2 linked regions of the Neodiprion lecontei genome follow. The protein of the gene in region 1 purifies or fractionates together with the protein of each later gene. This does not show direct contact. Links are inferred from orthologs where the notes say so. Each region holds a gene or a part of one and is shown on either strand. Other genes may lie near its edges.

Region 1 (8,150 bases):
AGCTGTATCGCAGATTCGAAACTGAACATAAAAGTGAGACCAGGAAATTGATATTATCTTTGGAACAGAGCAGGCGAGAAGGCAAATGCGATGCATCTGCATAGGCTAAGGGCACGGGTCCCGTAGGCAGCACTTGCGATTCGCTAAGATTTTTGTATATTTGACAAAACGGTCTATAATAGATGATAAGTTGATACAAACAAGGCGACTGAGATTATTAGTTAATGAATACTGTTTACATAATTAATAAGTTTAATAAACAAATAGCAGAGGAGGGTGCATCTGTGCAGAAACTGTGTTAAAAATACGCTGGCTATATTATTATACATATGATAATTAAAACGGAAAACAATGACATAAGAGAGAAGGAGCGAAGAAGGGAAATACACCGTGATGTGTCATATTGCGTGTGATGATATAATATATTATAAATATGAATTTTATTATTGAATAGACTTACTGATGGAAATTAAATATTGCAAGTTAATTTTATAGTTACGTTATTACATGATATATAATATTACTACTATTATTGTGTTATTATTTCCATCACGAGTGATCTATCACCGTACCGTATATAATAAAATATTTACTGCAACCATCCAAGGCCTATGTATCTACATGCATTGTTTAATACCATGAAGACGTTGAAACGAATAGCAAGAGAATATAAATTAATTATTTGTATCCTCGACTGATTCTGTACATTATGCAGTTACTATCCATAGAGTTATGCATGTATGTATGTACGTATGTGATCAATTTTTTTTGTCCGACGATATCTGGAGCATGACTTATCAGATGTCAATGATTTTGGTCTCGATCGACGCGACTTTTCCAAACTTAGAACCAATTAAATTTTGGCTCTGACCGGTTTAGTACTTTTTGAGTTATTTATGTAAGAACATTCGAAAAAATAAAACAAAAATAACGACATCTTTGGAATGATCGGATTCGAATAAAAATTGGTACCGCGAGGTTTTTTAGATCGCTGATCATGGATCTCAAATCAGATTTGCCAAATTTAAATTTATCGTATTCAATATGCTTGAAAAAAAATTAAAACATCTGGATTTTGATAAAAATTTGTACAGAAGATAAGTTAGGTCGCTGATCACGAATCTGAGGTCAGATTTGCGAAGTTCAAACTAGCGAATCCAATATGGTGGGAAAAGCAATATGGAAATACTCCGATTTTCGCAGAAATCAGTATGCGGAGGTCTTGTGGGTCATCGATGACGAACCAAGGTCCGACTGCCAAAATTTGTAACGATGGATCCATTATAGTGGTTTAAAATAAAAAAAAAATCATCATATTTTCATGTGATATAGTACTCGAAGCTCTCTGCTTGAAGGTTCTTGTCTCGGTAATCAGGAATTTGAATATGTAGTTTGAAATTTGAAATGGATATTAATATTTTGTTTTTTCTGTGAACTTGGAATCTGCAGCGACGAACACGGGAAGTTCGAGGGCTGGCTTACGGTCAGCCTAAAGCTGCTTGTGATATCTAGTTTTTTCACAGAGTTAGAGGCTCCAAATGAAGTTTGTCAATTAGTTATTTATGGTGCAGTAATACTTATCGTATGTTAATATTCGCAAATTGTTCAGTTTCGATCACTACAGTGGCAGTTTGCGATGGTAAGTGTATGCTCTGCATTATCTACTGCTTTCGTCATGCCAAGTACGGCAGAGTCGGCAGAGTATTACTGGGTTACCGACGCGCACTTACCGTCCGGGTACTTTGAAAATTGGTTTCAAATACATGTTTCGTGTCAGAAACCGCTACTCACTAATCTTTAATGAGCATTCCACAAGGGGGCAGCACCATCTAACATTTTTTTCAAGGCGTGTCGTGTTAACCGTTGACTAATGTGACGAGTGCCAAGAAGTGGTCGCGTGTGACTGTCGCGCGATAATCGTGTCGATGTCTCGTGTCCCGGATATTGTGATAAGATAACATTGATAAGAACCAAGGTAAGCGGAACAGCGATATGATAATCTTTCCTGATTTCATTGACGAGTCGTATCACTGCGTTTAGCTTGAACCCCGGAGCAACGCAACGCCTCACTCACTATTGTTTACGGTGCGCCCGTCGTGCACCGTGCCACTCCCTAGGTATTAAATTTTATCACGAGAAACCACGGAAAATAAATTTTTCACACGATCAAACAATCCGATTCTCGGAAGAGCGTGCATTGATTATTTTACTTGTTATTTCAACATTTTGATTTCTGATGTAATTACTTGTAATTTTATCTTATTTGACGGTTCTTCATATGGTAATTATCCTCGATTAGCTTACAAACCGTAAACTGTGACCCGTACAGTTGCGTAATGCTATTTTTTTCTGATTAGAATATCATAATAAAAGTAGCTGCGAACTTTGGCCGTACACCAATCCTGTTCTGCCATGGTTGGCCTTTGGTTGCAAGTCGCTTTGGTCACTACTTGGGTCATCCTTGTCGCTGCACAAGATCTAGGCGACGGAGAGTTGATATATCGATGTCCCCAGTACTGGATCAGGCACCAAGAGTCATGCTATAGATTCATAAAGAGTCCCTTGAGGGCTCGGGCAGAAGCTCGCAAGAACTGTCAGGCCTATCAGAGTGACCTGGTTAGCGTTGATTCTCTTGAGGAGCATGGGTTCCTCATGTATCAGTTGCAATGGCAGGATCCGCAGCATCGACGCTGGTACACAGGAATCAGGCAGCAGGGTGGCTACTGGTCTAACGAACCAGATGGAAGCCAGCTCGTGAACATGGATAATGCGTTCCTGCCCGAGCCCCTGGATAATGTGCAAGGGAAGGACTACTTGGTTTATACATTCAGTAATAACCTGAAAAGATGGGGATTCGAGAAGGTTACCGGGAATGAGGAGCTTTTGTACATATGCGAAGCTTCTGTTGTCAGCATGCACAATTTAGTCCAGGACGACCGTACCTACCAGTACGGCATTGAGATTAACAATCCCCTGAGAGTGCCACGCGGTCCTTACTTCATTAAGCAACCGGTCGACACCGTATTTGACTTGTCCAAAAGGAAGTTAACCAACGACGTCACTCTAAGCTGCTTGGCTGGTGGATTCCCAACACCTACTTACGAGTGGTTTAAAGAGATCTATGAGAATGATAGATTGGTTGCTAATAGGATCAACCCTTTGGAAAACAGTCGATACACTGTCAGCGGAGGAACTCTTATTATTTACGAACCTGAGCAGGTAATTATCCCTAAGGTACATCGGGCGATTAAGTAGGGAATACCCATCGTTGTCCATTCTCTCTTTAACCATGTTTCAGAAAGGAGATCCTGGATCCTATCATTGCAAGGCGAGCAATGAATTTGGCACAATTGTGTCAGAAAGTGTAGTGCTTTCTTTTGGATACATATTAGTGTTCAATCTGCAACGTTCCCAAGAGAAGGGTGATCAAAATTGGGGAAAAGCAATCTATTGCGATCCTCCTCAACATTTTCCTGGTGTCAAATATTATTGGACTCGTGATTACTTCCCCAACTTTGTTGAGGAGGATAAGCGTGTATTTGTTTCCAACGACGGTGCCCTTTACTTTTCTGCCTTGGAATCGATAGATCAAGGAAATTATTCATGTAATGTACAAAGTGTTGCATCAGATACTGGGAGAAATGGCCCTTTTTTCCCGCTCCGAGTCAATCCTCACTGTAAGTCTTGTCTCTTAATAATTCTACCACCTATGGTTTCACTAAGATGTTGATTCTCCTCTAACATGGTAACATTGATTTCAGCTACATTTCAGCAGCTTACTTTCACCAACAACTTTCCCAAAGTCTTTCCTGAAGTTCCCGTAGCCGGGGAAGAAGTTCAGCTTGAATGCATCGCCTTTGGATAGTATGCATTGTTTGTCGAAAAATTTGCACCCCTGATATTTGTCACACATTTCTGGTAACACTTGATCATTTTTTCAGTCCAGTTCCATCTTACAATTGGACACGCAGAGGTGCTGATCTACCACGTGGTGCAGTTTATTCCAACTATAACCGTGTCCTAATCATTCCACGAGTCCAAGTAGAAGACCAAGGAGAGTATGTTTGCAGAGCATCAAACAACAGAGCCTCAATAGAAAATTCAGTTTTTTTAACCATACAAGCTGCTCCAAACTTTACAATTCCGCTGGTAGACAAACACATGGATAACAGGGGTGATTTAACGTGGACCTGCGAAGCATTTGGCATTCCTGATGTTGATTACAAGTGGTTTAGGAATGGTGAAATACTAGATATGTATACACTGCCACTTGAGGATAGAGATCGATACACCATACAAGACAATGTACTTTCAATAAGAAATCTCAATCCTGAGAGAGACCAGGCGATGTATCAATGTCGAGCAAGAAATCAGCTTCGAACAAAGTATTCTTCAGGTCAATTACGAGTCTTGTGTGAGTTGCTTCTTCTGAATTTTGAATACTCAAATACCATATATTGACACAAGAATTGTTCGATCTTTCGTATACTTGCAGCACTGAAGCCATCTTTCAAAAAGAGGCCCATGGAGTCAGAAACATACGCGGCAGACGGTGGGAATGTTACGATAGTGTGCAACCCTGAAGCTGCGCCACGACCAAAGTTTGTATGGAAAAAAGATGGGAATGTTATTGGTTCTGGGGGAAGGAGGCGTATGCTTGAAAATGGAAACCTGATAATAAGTCCAGTTTCACGCGATGACGAGGGTATGTACACCTGCATAGCCTCGAATGAGTATGGAACAGACGAAACCCGGGGAAGAGTTATTGTACTTCGTAAGTAGCCGATGTATTTTTCGATAAAGCTTCAAGTCAAAACTCTGCGACTTAGGAAGTAACGTGTTATGTGGAAATTGTAGGTGGCCCGAGATTTATTGAGAGTCTGTATCGCCGTACAATTACTGCAGTGATGCGGAACTTGACATTATACTGTCGCGCCGAGACTGAGGAAATCTTAGATGTTGCTTACATATGGACACACAACGGGCTACGAATAAGAGACAAAGATCTGATAAATAATCCACGGCTACAGATCGATGCTGGGCTTCTTAATTTAGTAAACGTGACTTTTGCCGATGCCGGCGACTATGAATGTATAATCAAAAGTGCAGTTGGTAGGATATCGAGTAGGGCAAGCGTTATTGTTGAAGGCCCACCAGGTCCGCCAGGAGGTGTACAGGTCATAAGTGTCGTCAAAACTTCGGTGACCCTTCAGTGGACTGACGGAGCATTTAATGGCAGACCTATCACTATGTATAGTGTTGGCACAAGAACGAATTGGAATGAAACATGGTTTCTACTATCTGAAAGTAAGTTTCCAGTTCGTTAATTGTACTACACTATCGTGGGTTAAATGTCTGATGAAATATGCATTCAGGCGATGTCACACTTGTTTACAGAAACGGTTTTTTGACACTTCATGGTATAAAAATCTTTTTAATTACTAATTGCCATCACATCAAATTTCGCTTAGGTCAAAACTGAATCATTACAAGTGAGCAATAGTAGTCTGATTCCAGCAATACTTACCAATCTTTACAATATACTATCGGTTCCAGAGACTCAATTCTGGTAGCGCTGTAATTTACTTTGACCTTTCACAATATTGAGTATTATTGCATTGCAATTTTCACTATCTTTATCAATTTTATTTTACAGACATAACGGCTATCGAAATCGATAGGTACAACGGGCGTAAAGAAGCATATCTTGAAAATGTTCTCAACCCGCACACAACCTATGAATTTCGCGTTTCAGCGATAAATGACCTAGGTATTGGCGATCCGTCAAGTCCGTCACCTCAGTACAGCACACCGTCCGCCAAGCCGGGAATGGCGCCGATTAACATAGGTGGCGGTGGCGGTAAAATCGGGGATCTGACAATAACCTGGACACCATTGAAATCTTCGGAGCAAAACGGACCCGGGATATATTACAAGATTTATTGGCGTCGAAAGTCCGAGGAAATAGAATTCCAGTCTCTTGCGCTCAAGGAATACGGGAACACGAATATGGCGGTTGTGCACATTCCTTCTGAATATTACTACACACAGTATGAGGTGCAAGTTCAAGCTGCCAACGATGTTGGTTTTGGACCGCTTTCCGAAATCGTGACAATATTCAGTGCTGAAAAGATGCCGCTGGTCGCTCCGCAACAGGTTTACGCGAGAAGTTACAACAGCACAAGTCTGAACGTCACCTGGTTGCCAATCGAAGAAACGCGAGAACGAGTCCATGGTAAATTGATAGGTCACAGACTGAAGTACTGGAAAAAAGACAATGCGGAGGAGGATGCTGTGTATTATTTGTCGCGTTCGAAGCGTCCTTGGGCCCTTGTTGTTGGCTTGCAGCCTGACACCTATTATTTCGTCAAAGTAATGGTGTATAACTCCGCTGGTGAAGGGCCAGAGAGCGAACGTTACCTAGAAAGAACTTACCGCAAAGCGCCGCAAAATCCTCCCTCATCTGTCAACGTTTATGGCATCAATCCATCCACTGTTAAAGTAGTTTGGCGTTACGTTCAGCCAAGTTTGGCGGAAGAACCGTTAATCGGATACAAAATCCGTGTGTGGGAAGTCGACCAAGATATGAGCACGGCCAATGATACAATAGTTCCAGTTGGTTCGGCACTCGAGGGATATATAACAAATCTTAGTCCTGGGAAAGCTTACCACATGAGAGTGTTGGCGTTCAGCAATGGAGGAGATGGACGGATGTCCAGTCCTGAGCATACTTTTCAAATGGGAGACCCAGATACGTTTAGGAGCTCGGCAAGCAAAAAGATTCTTAATACTGGTCTTGGTGTGGCATTGTTGCTCTTATTAAGATTAATCAATTACATATAGTAACTTTTTTTCTAAGATCGCTCGAAACAGACTTGAACTTTGAGGCGTTACCAATTTTTTACTTTCATAAAATATAATTGATAATTTAGAGGTTTCTCTGTAACCGTCCATAGACATCGTTAATTGGCTATCAAATGTTGACGGTAGCTATTGAATGTAGACAATATCAAAATGAAAAAGGTGAACAAATGTTGAGAACGTCATTGAAGTCAGAAGCTTTAAATTATTATTAGGTATCATACGTGCATCTAAACAATAATTGTCACTTTTCAATCTGTTACAAAAGTGTGACGAGGTGATTCTCTATTGATGCTTCGACTACAACTTACAGATCTGACTCTTGATTGTTGAAAAGTATACCGTAGAGATATCTTGAATCGAGCCTTCCAAGACATCCCAAGATTGGTCTAATTTTCACGATACGTTTTACGAGTATATCGAGAAGGTCTCGTGTTAACATCCGAAGAGACTTGATGCCTTGCATTAACGTGCATGAACCGGTGTCAGTAGTCTCCGCTCGAGTGTGAGGGGTCCGTTTCACGGCCTCTTCTTGGTACACATTCACATATATAATACCCATGTACAATAAATACGTATATATATATATATATATATATAAGCAGTGTTGAACGCTTACAACATAGTTTTCTCCAACACAATTATCTTGTATGCATTATCAATCTCATACATTTTGTAGAGATCGTGTAAGAACAGTTAGCTGTGGTCCTCCCGAAAGTTACAATTATCTCTTTTTTCAGTAAATTATACAGATATCATCATGTGTCCATTATAATTGTAGGTAATATATAGATTTTCATTTAAATTCTTATTCGTGACTTTCAGCACATTTCTCAAGTTTTATTGGGAGTTGTTCCAACACTGCTTACAAGTATATGTAGCAGCGATCACTGGCCTACCGATATTTGGCAGTGATTCGCTACTGCGAATCTCGATTAATTATAAGGATTTCAAAATATTTCAAGATATTTTAATAGTTTCATTTTGATATTATATTATGACAGCTAAATTATTTTGAGAAAGAAACAGTGATTTGTTGCTAACATCTCTCTATTTTCCAATCGATTATCTTGTAAATATATATTCAAACGACTGTACTTGGCCGCTGCTAAGCCCCTCTCCCTCCCTCTCCCTCCATCGCCCCACCCGCCCCTCCGCCCTTTACTTGTAGTTATTATTTTCATCAACAATTCAGTTTATGCTGAGCGGTAACAATTTCCGTCCATACGAGTTTATACAACTATAAATATACGTACCTAATTATACATATTGAAATATAGAATGCGACA
Region 2 (5,003 bases), on another chromosome or scaffold:
TCAACATCATTTCTGAAATTTTTGCTCACTATATCTTACTACAATAATGTAATTAATAAATTAGCGTCCCTCCAAAAACGAGTTATAAAAATTGTAACGATATCTAATACGAATAAAACGCTGCAAAGACTCAAGTGTTCGTTTGATGTCGAGGCTTTACGCAATCAATATGATTATCATTATCAAAATTTCGAATCCTCCACTATAACAACGAGGAAAAAAGGTTTGATGCTACCCACGATCTACAAAACTGCTAACTTCAAAAGCAGTTTCATAACTTCGTTGAAGTTATTTATAGCCATTTAGTATAAATGGCGTACATCGATGCAATTTTAAAGACGCGAGCAAAGCTCAATAATGTGAGTTTTAATACTATCTTTTTAGTTTCGTATTCTATTCTCTTTACCTGTTACCTTAATCTTAATTTTTAGTTTACAAACACCATTATTACGCACAGGCAATTTTACCTGCCTCGTTAGGTTTTATTTGCGTGTGTAAAATATTGTAAATAATATTCTGCTGCTCAATAAATATGACATGTGGAATATGAAAATACTACTACATAATGAAATCACGTTCCCTTATTTAGCCATCGCTTTGTCACATGGCCAATAGAAAAAATCAACAGACGAAAAACAGAAAAAAGATAACAGGTTGAAATTCATGCGACTCACCCATTCTGCATCGCGACGATCTGTGCAAGCCTATCACAACACAAGTATATCCGCAATAAACCCTCATCCGCAGCTTATCTCCTGGTCCTGGAATCAAAATCCGTTTTTTATTATTTGAACATAAACGTCGTAGTATTTTTGCGCCTGTCGATTGTTTGGGTTGCTTCGGTGTTATCTGAAATCGCTTTACGTGAATATAGTCAAACGCCGAAACAAATGCATTCTTCTATTAAATTCACTTGTTCGGCAAACACGTGAGGAAAAAAAGAGACACACATATACAAAACGGTCGAACAAGAGGAAGCGTAGAGTAAATGAAAACGAAAACAACCGCCCACAAACATTCCGAAAACGGAGTATCAAATATCGATTCTAAAAATCATATAGACAAAAAGTAGTGAGAATATTTCGGAAGCATTTTCTTATAGAAATAGTGTTTAGTCGAATAAATTATGTGATACAATAAACAAATGCAATAAGCTCGTACTTGTACCTTGCATTTATCGTTAAATTTGATTCAATTCAGCCTCCAGATTTGATCGAAAGTTAGGAAGCATGCGAACCGACTACGAGCAACGTCCACAAATCACAACCGTTGACTGAAAACTGTTATCCCAACGGAACGGTTTCGTGTATCACATGAAATTGCGTGTCGATAAAAAAAACTACCGCATTACTGTCACGGCTTTACGTAGCCTCAGGCTTGCTTACTTACAGAGTAATGATCGCGATATTTTTCCCAAGAGCAAGCGTTCGAAACCCCGATTCCTCTAAAGTTAATCAAAAGTTTACACCAAGTTCAGCCTGTCTCGAAACTACACAGAAAAAATTGAACGTCGTATAAACCGTGTCGAAAAAAACGGGGCGTTAATCATTTGTCTCGTCACAACCAACTGCCGATCACTGATTCAAACAGTGCTGCCCTCTTTCGGAACGCTTACAAAGCGTTGGAAAGTCGAACAGGTCTCGAGTTCGACTTTCGGCCACCAAATGTCGCTCCGATAGATTTAAAAAATGTATGGATCAGCCAATAGACGTTGGGTGGAAACTTGGAAAGTGTCAACTGTGTGTGCGTCACTGGCAACTATAGTCTGACTATTCATTCGGCCACCTCACACAGCCACAGATTGAGTCGACTCACCGACTCGGACCGCGGCATTGCGTGGATCATTCATTAGTCAACCAGAGTTGGGTGTAACCCGTGTAACCGCAAATTCAAGCAATGTTATGATGTGCGTTATCAAGTACATCGTTCTCCTCTTCACCCTCGTATCAGTGCCGAAAACAAACGGATGTAAGTTGAAGCGACGAGCATATTCGAAAACAATTGAACCGAAGCATGTAGCTCTGATTCCGATAGACGAAATAATATTGTTTCAAACGTGAACTATCCCTTTGGGCCAAGCCCATATAACGCTCAACATGGCGTTGGCTTGCTCCAAGCGGCGACGTTATTCCGAAGACGAATTATCCAACCCTTGATTCTCTCATCCTCGCCAAATTACGCCGAGGTAAAACCTGACGCTTCGTAGTTTATTGTTGTTTTTTTTTTTCTTTCAGATGATTACGATTGCGGCATGCCACTGCTTGAGAAGGCTCAACTAAAGGCTACATCATCCCTGTCCGAACGAGGACCCGAAAATGCCAGGCTTAACGGTAAAAATTTTTATAATATCGTTTGATTTTTACGTCGAAAGACACAAGGCGAGACTAAGTCGGTTTAGCTGAATCCAAAATCGAACCAAACATGTGGATGTGGTGAAAATACGCCTGCCTTGAATACTGTGTTGTTGTTATACCGTAGCTTCTTCTTGTTGTCGGCTACTAGCTTTTCTCCTTATTACTCTTGATGTTGTAATCTCAAATTTACTTTCTTTCAATGAATCTTCGCTGGCACAAATATCGACTTCTTTGATTTTAATTATTCTCCGAACCTACAAAAAATTCTCATTGTTTATTAGTTCATTCAAACGAGAGGTTTGCAGGGCAGTCTTGCAAGCATTTATGTCACATACTCAGGGCTGATAACAATTCACTTTTGTTAATTTTTTCTATACGTATTGATCGCATCTTCTGTTACAATCATCTGACACGCTCCAAGTTCCTACTAACGATAAATTATATGCTATACTATTCACGTTCAAATTTGTCAGGTCAGAATAATCATATTGAAATTTTACAAGTAGGTAATAAAAAAAAAATTCACCTAATCGTGTAACAGCAAGGTTCTAAAGAAACTATACAATTTTTGTCACCACAAAATATATCTAAAACAAGCTTGATCAGCCAATTGAAAGAAATCAATAAAATGGTACAGTACACTTCCCGTAACTTCCTGCTCTCAGAACACTCAGGCCTAAGCTTTTATAGTAAGAAAAAATCAAAGTTGAATAGTACCCTGACTAAGCAAGATTATCTTTTTTTTTAATAATATACCAGTGTTCAACACATCGTGACATTGAGACATAAATTTTCATGAAACGATACGCGAACAAAGTAGTCGCTAACAAACGACGCACGTTGAGTTTCCCCAGTAGATATAGAAGTAACTTTTTTATTGCGAAAAGTATTTAGTCAACTCGATGAATGCATTGTACGTACTTCTCTACATCAGGTAATCACTCCTATCATTTTTATCAAAATTAGTGCTATCAGCCCTGTACGTATCATTCTAGATATACTAGCACTCATCCATCAGAAGATAAGCATGTAACTCTTTGAATCCTTGCCTTTATCGCCTCGTCAATACTCAGGGTTGTTGCAACCTGAGAAATTTCTAAGATTTGCAAAAATATATTCAAACCAAGATCTGAGACAATATTATACGCTAATATGGGTTTTATTTAGAATTCTAATTTCTGTCATAGACTGTGACTGAAAGCGTCAATATGAAAAGTTGTAATGCAAGAATCTAATGTGTGAATTAAAAATTTGTAACAATCCTGTATCACTTTCACTTATATCCACATTACGAAAGTGACCAGGTATTATTTTAACAGTAGATAATTTTTAGCTCAAAACATCAGTTGGTTTCTTACATGTAGATAAGAAATTTTATAGCATAGAAAAATGACACAATTTTGAAGTTCAAACCTTGCAACAACTCTGATTTATTTCCATATATTCAGGTTCAACCTTAGGTCTGAGTTTGGTAATCGAATAATAGCCAGAAAAAAAGTAAAATTGCGTCTTGTATATTTGCTTCAGGTGGATACTAAGAAGTCCCAAAATTTTACAAAACGGAGCCTGTCGTAGAAGTCCGCTGTGAAACAGTTTATTTATATATTGAAAAAAGAAAGAACGTAACTTATTTCAACATATCTGATTCTTGTTATGATAAAAATGGCAAGGTCGAGTGTTCGATGGGCGTTCAATTGGCTGCAATGGGATCCAAGTGAGACCGAATTCCTAAAAGCTATTTCTTGCATACAAATCGAAGAGAAGGAAAGAATCGGTAGATTCGTGTTTAAAAAAGATGCGAGAGCCTCTCTTGTCGGCAGATTGTTGATGCGTAAATTTGTAAATGAGTACGGCAATATTCCTTACGGTGACGTATCGTTCGGTAGAGATGAAAGTGATCGGCCCTTCGTGAATGGCGACGTTAAGAATCTAAACTTCAACGTGTCCCATCAGGGAAGCTACACAGTCATTGCTGGGGAAGTTAGAAATTTACTGTTAGGAGTCGATGTAATGAAGCTAGAGTACACCGGTGGTAAAAACTTGGCTGAATTTTTCCGAATTATGAATAGAAATTTTACACCTACAGAGTGGAACTCGATCAGAGGAGGTAACTCAAAATCTGAAATGGATCAAGTATCTATGTTTTGCAGACATTGGTCTCTGAAGGAAAGCTATGTCAAAGCTATAGGCGTAGGAATAACTATGGATTTATCAAGAATTTCATTCAAAACAAATTCGCCCTTAGTGGCGGGTCAGTTAGTTACGGACACTGAACTCTACTTAGACGGGGTGAAACAGAACTGGCTCTTTGAGGAATCGTTACTTGATTCAGATCACTGCGTTTCCGTTGCCTTACAAGAAAACAAATCTGCCCCAGAATCTCGCGGTATTAAATTTGAAACAATGAACTTTGAAAAGCTAATGGAAAATTCAGTTTCCCTTCATTCATTGGACCTTGAATATTGCAAGAAATACTTTGCCAAGCCCGAGCAGCCCGAGAAAAGATTTAGTTAGAGAAGTTTTGTTATCTTTATTAGTAAATAATGTTGAATATGAACGAGTATTCACAAAATGAGAATTGTCATCGCATTTAAATATCGACAAACCCATATTTTATTAAAAATACGTGATTAATTATTATTATTATTA

The links.
Region 2: the proteins of contactin (region 1) and neurexin-4 purify together in Drosophila melanogaster (affinity purification with western blotting; 4 studies listed by BioGRID). This does not show direct contact. The link is inferred for Neodiprion lecontei from reciprocal best matches to the Drosophila melanogaster genes Cont and Nrx-IV.

The regions. Positions count from the first base shown.
Region 1 is NC_060264.1:36,260,640-36,268,789, reverse strand, and holds the start of contactin, read left to right. Parts: upstream 1-1,853; 5' UTR 1,854-1,975; intron 1,976-2,357; 5' UTR 2,358-2,412; coding exon 2,413-3,219; intron 3,220-3,298; coding exon 3,299-3,677; intron 3,678-3,761; coding exon 3,762-3,864; intron 3,865-3,941; coding exon 3,942-4,414; intron 4,415-4,495; coding exon 4,496-4,774; intron 4,775-4,857; coding exon 4,858-5,307; intron 5,308-5,656; coding exon 5,657-6,843; 3' UTR 6,844-8,150. UniProt on the Drosophila melanogaster protein: Required for organization of septate junctions and paracellular barrier functions.
Region 2 is NC_060263.1:7,609,153-7,614,155, forward strand, and holds the start of neurexin-4, read left to right. Parts: upstream 1-1,729; 5' UTR 1,730-1,901; coding exon 1,902-1,968; intron 1,969-2,234; coding exon 2,235-2,330; intron 2,331-5,003. UniProt on the Drosophila melanogaster protein: Seems to play a role in the formation and function of septate junctions.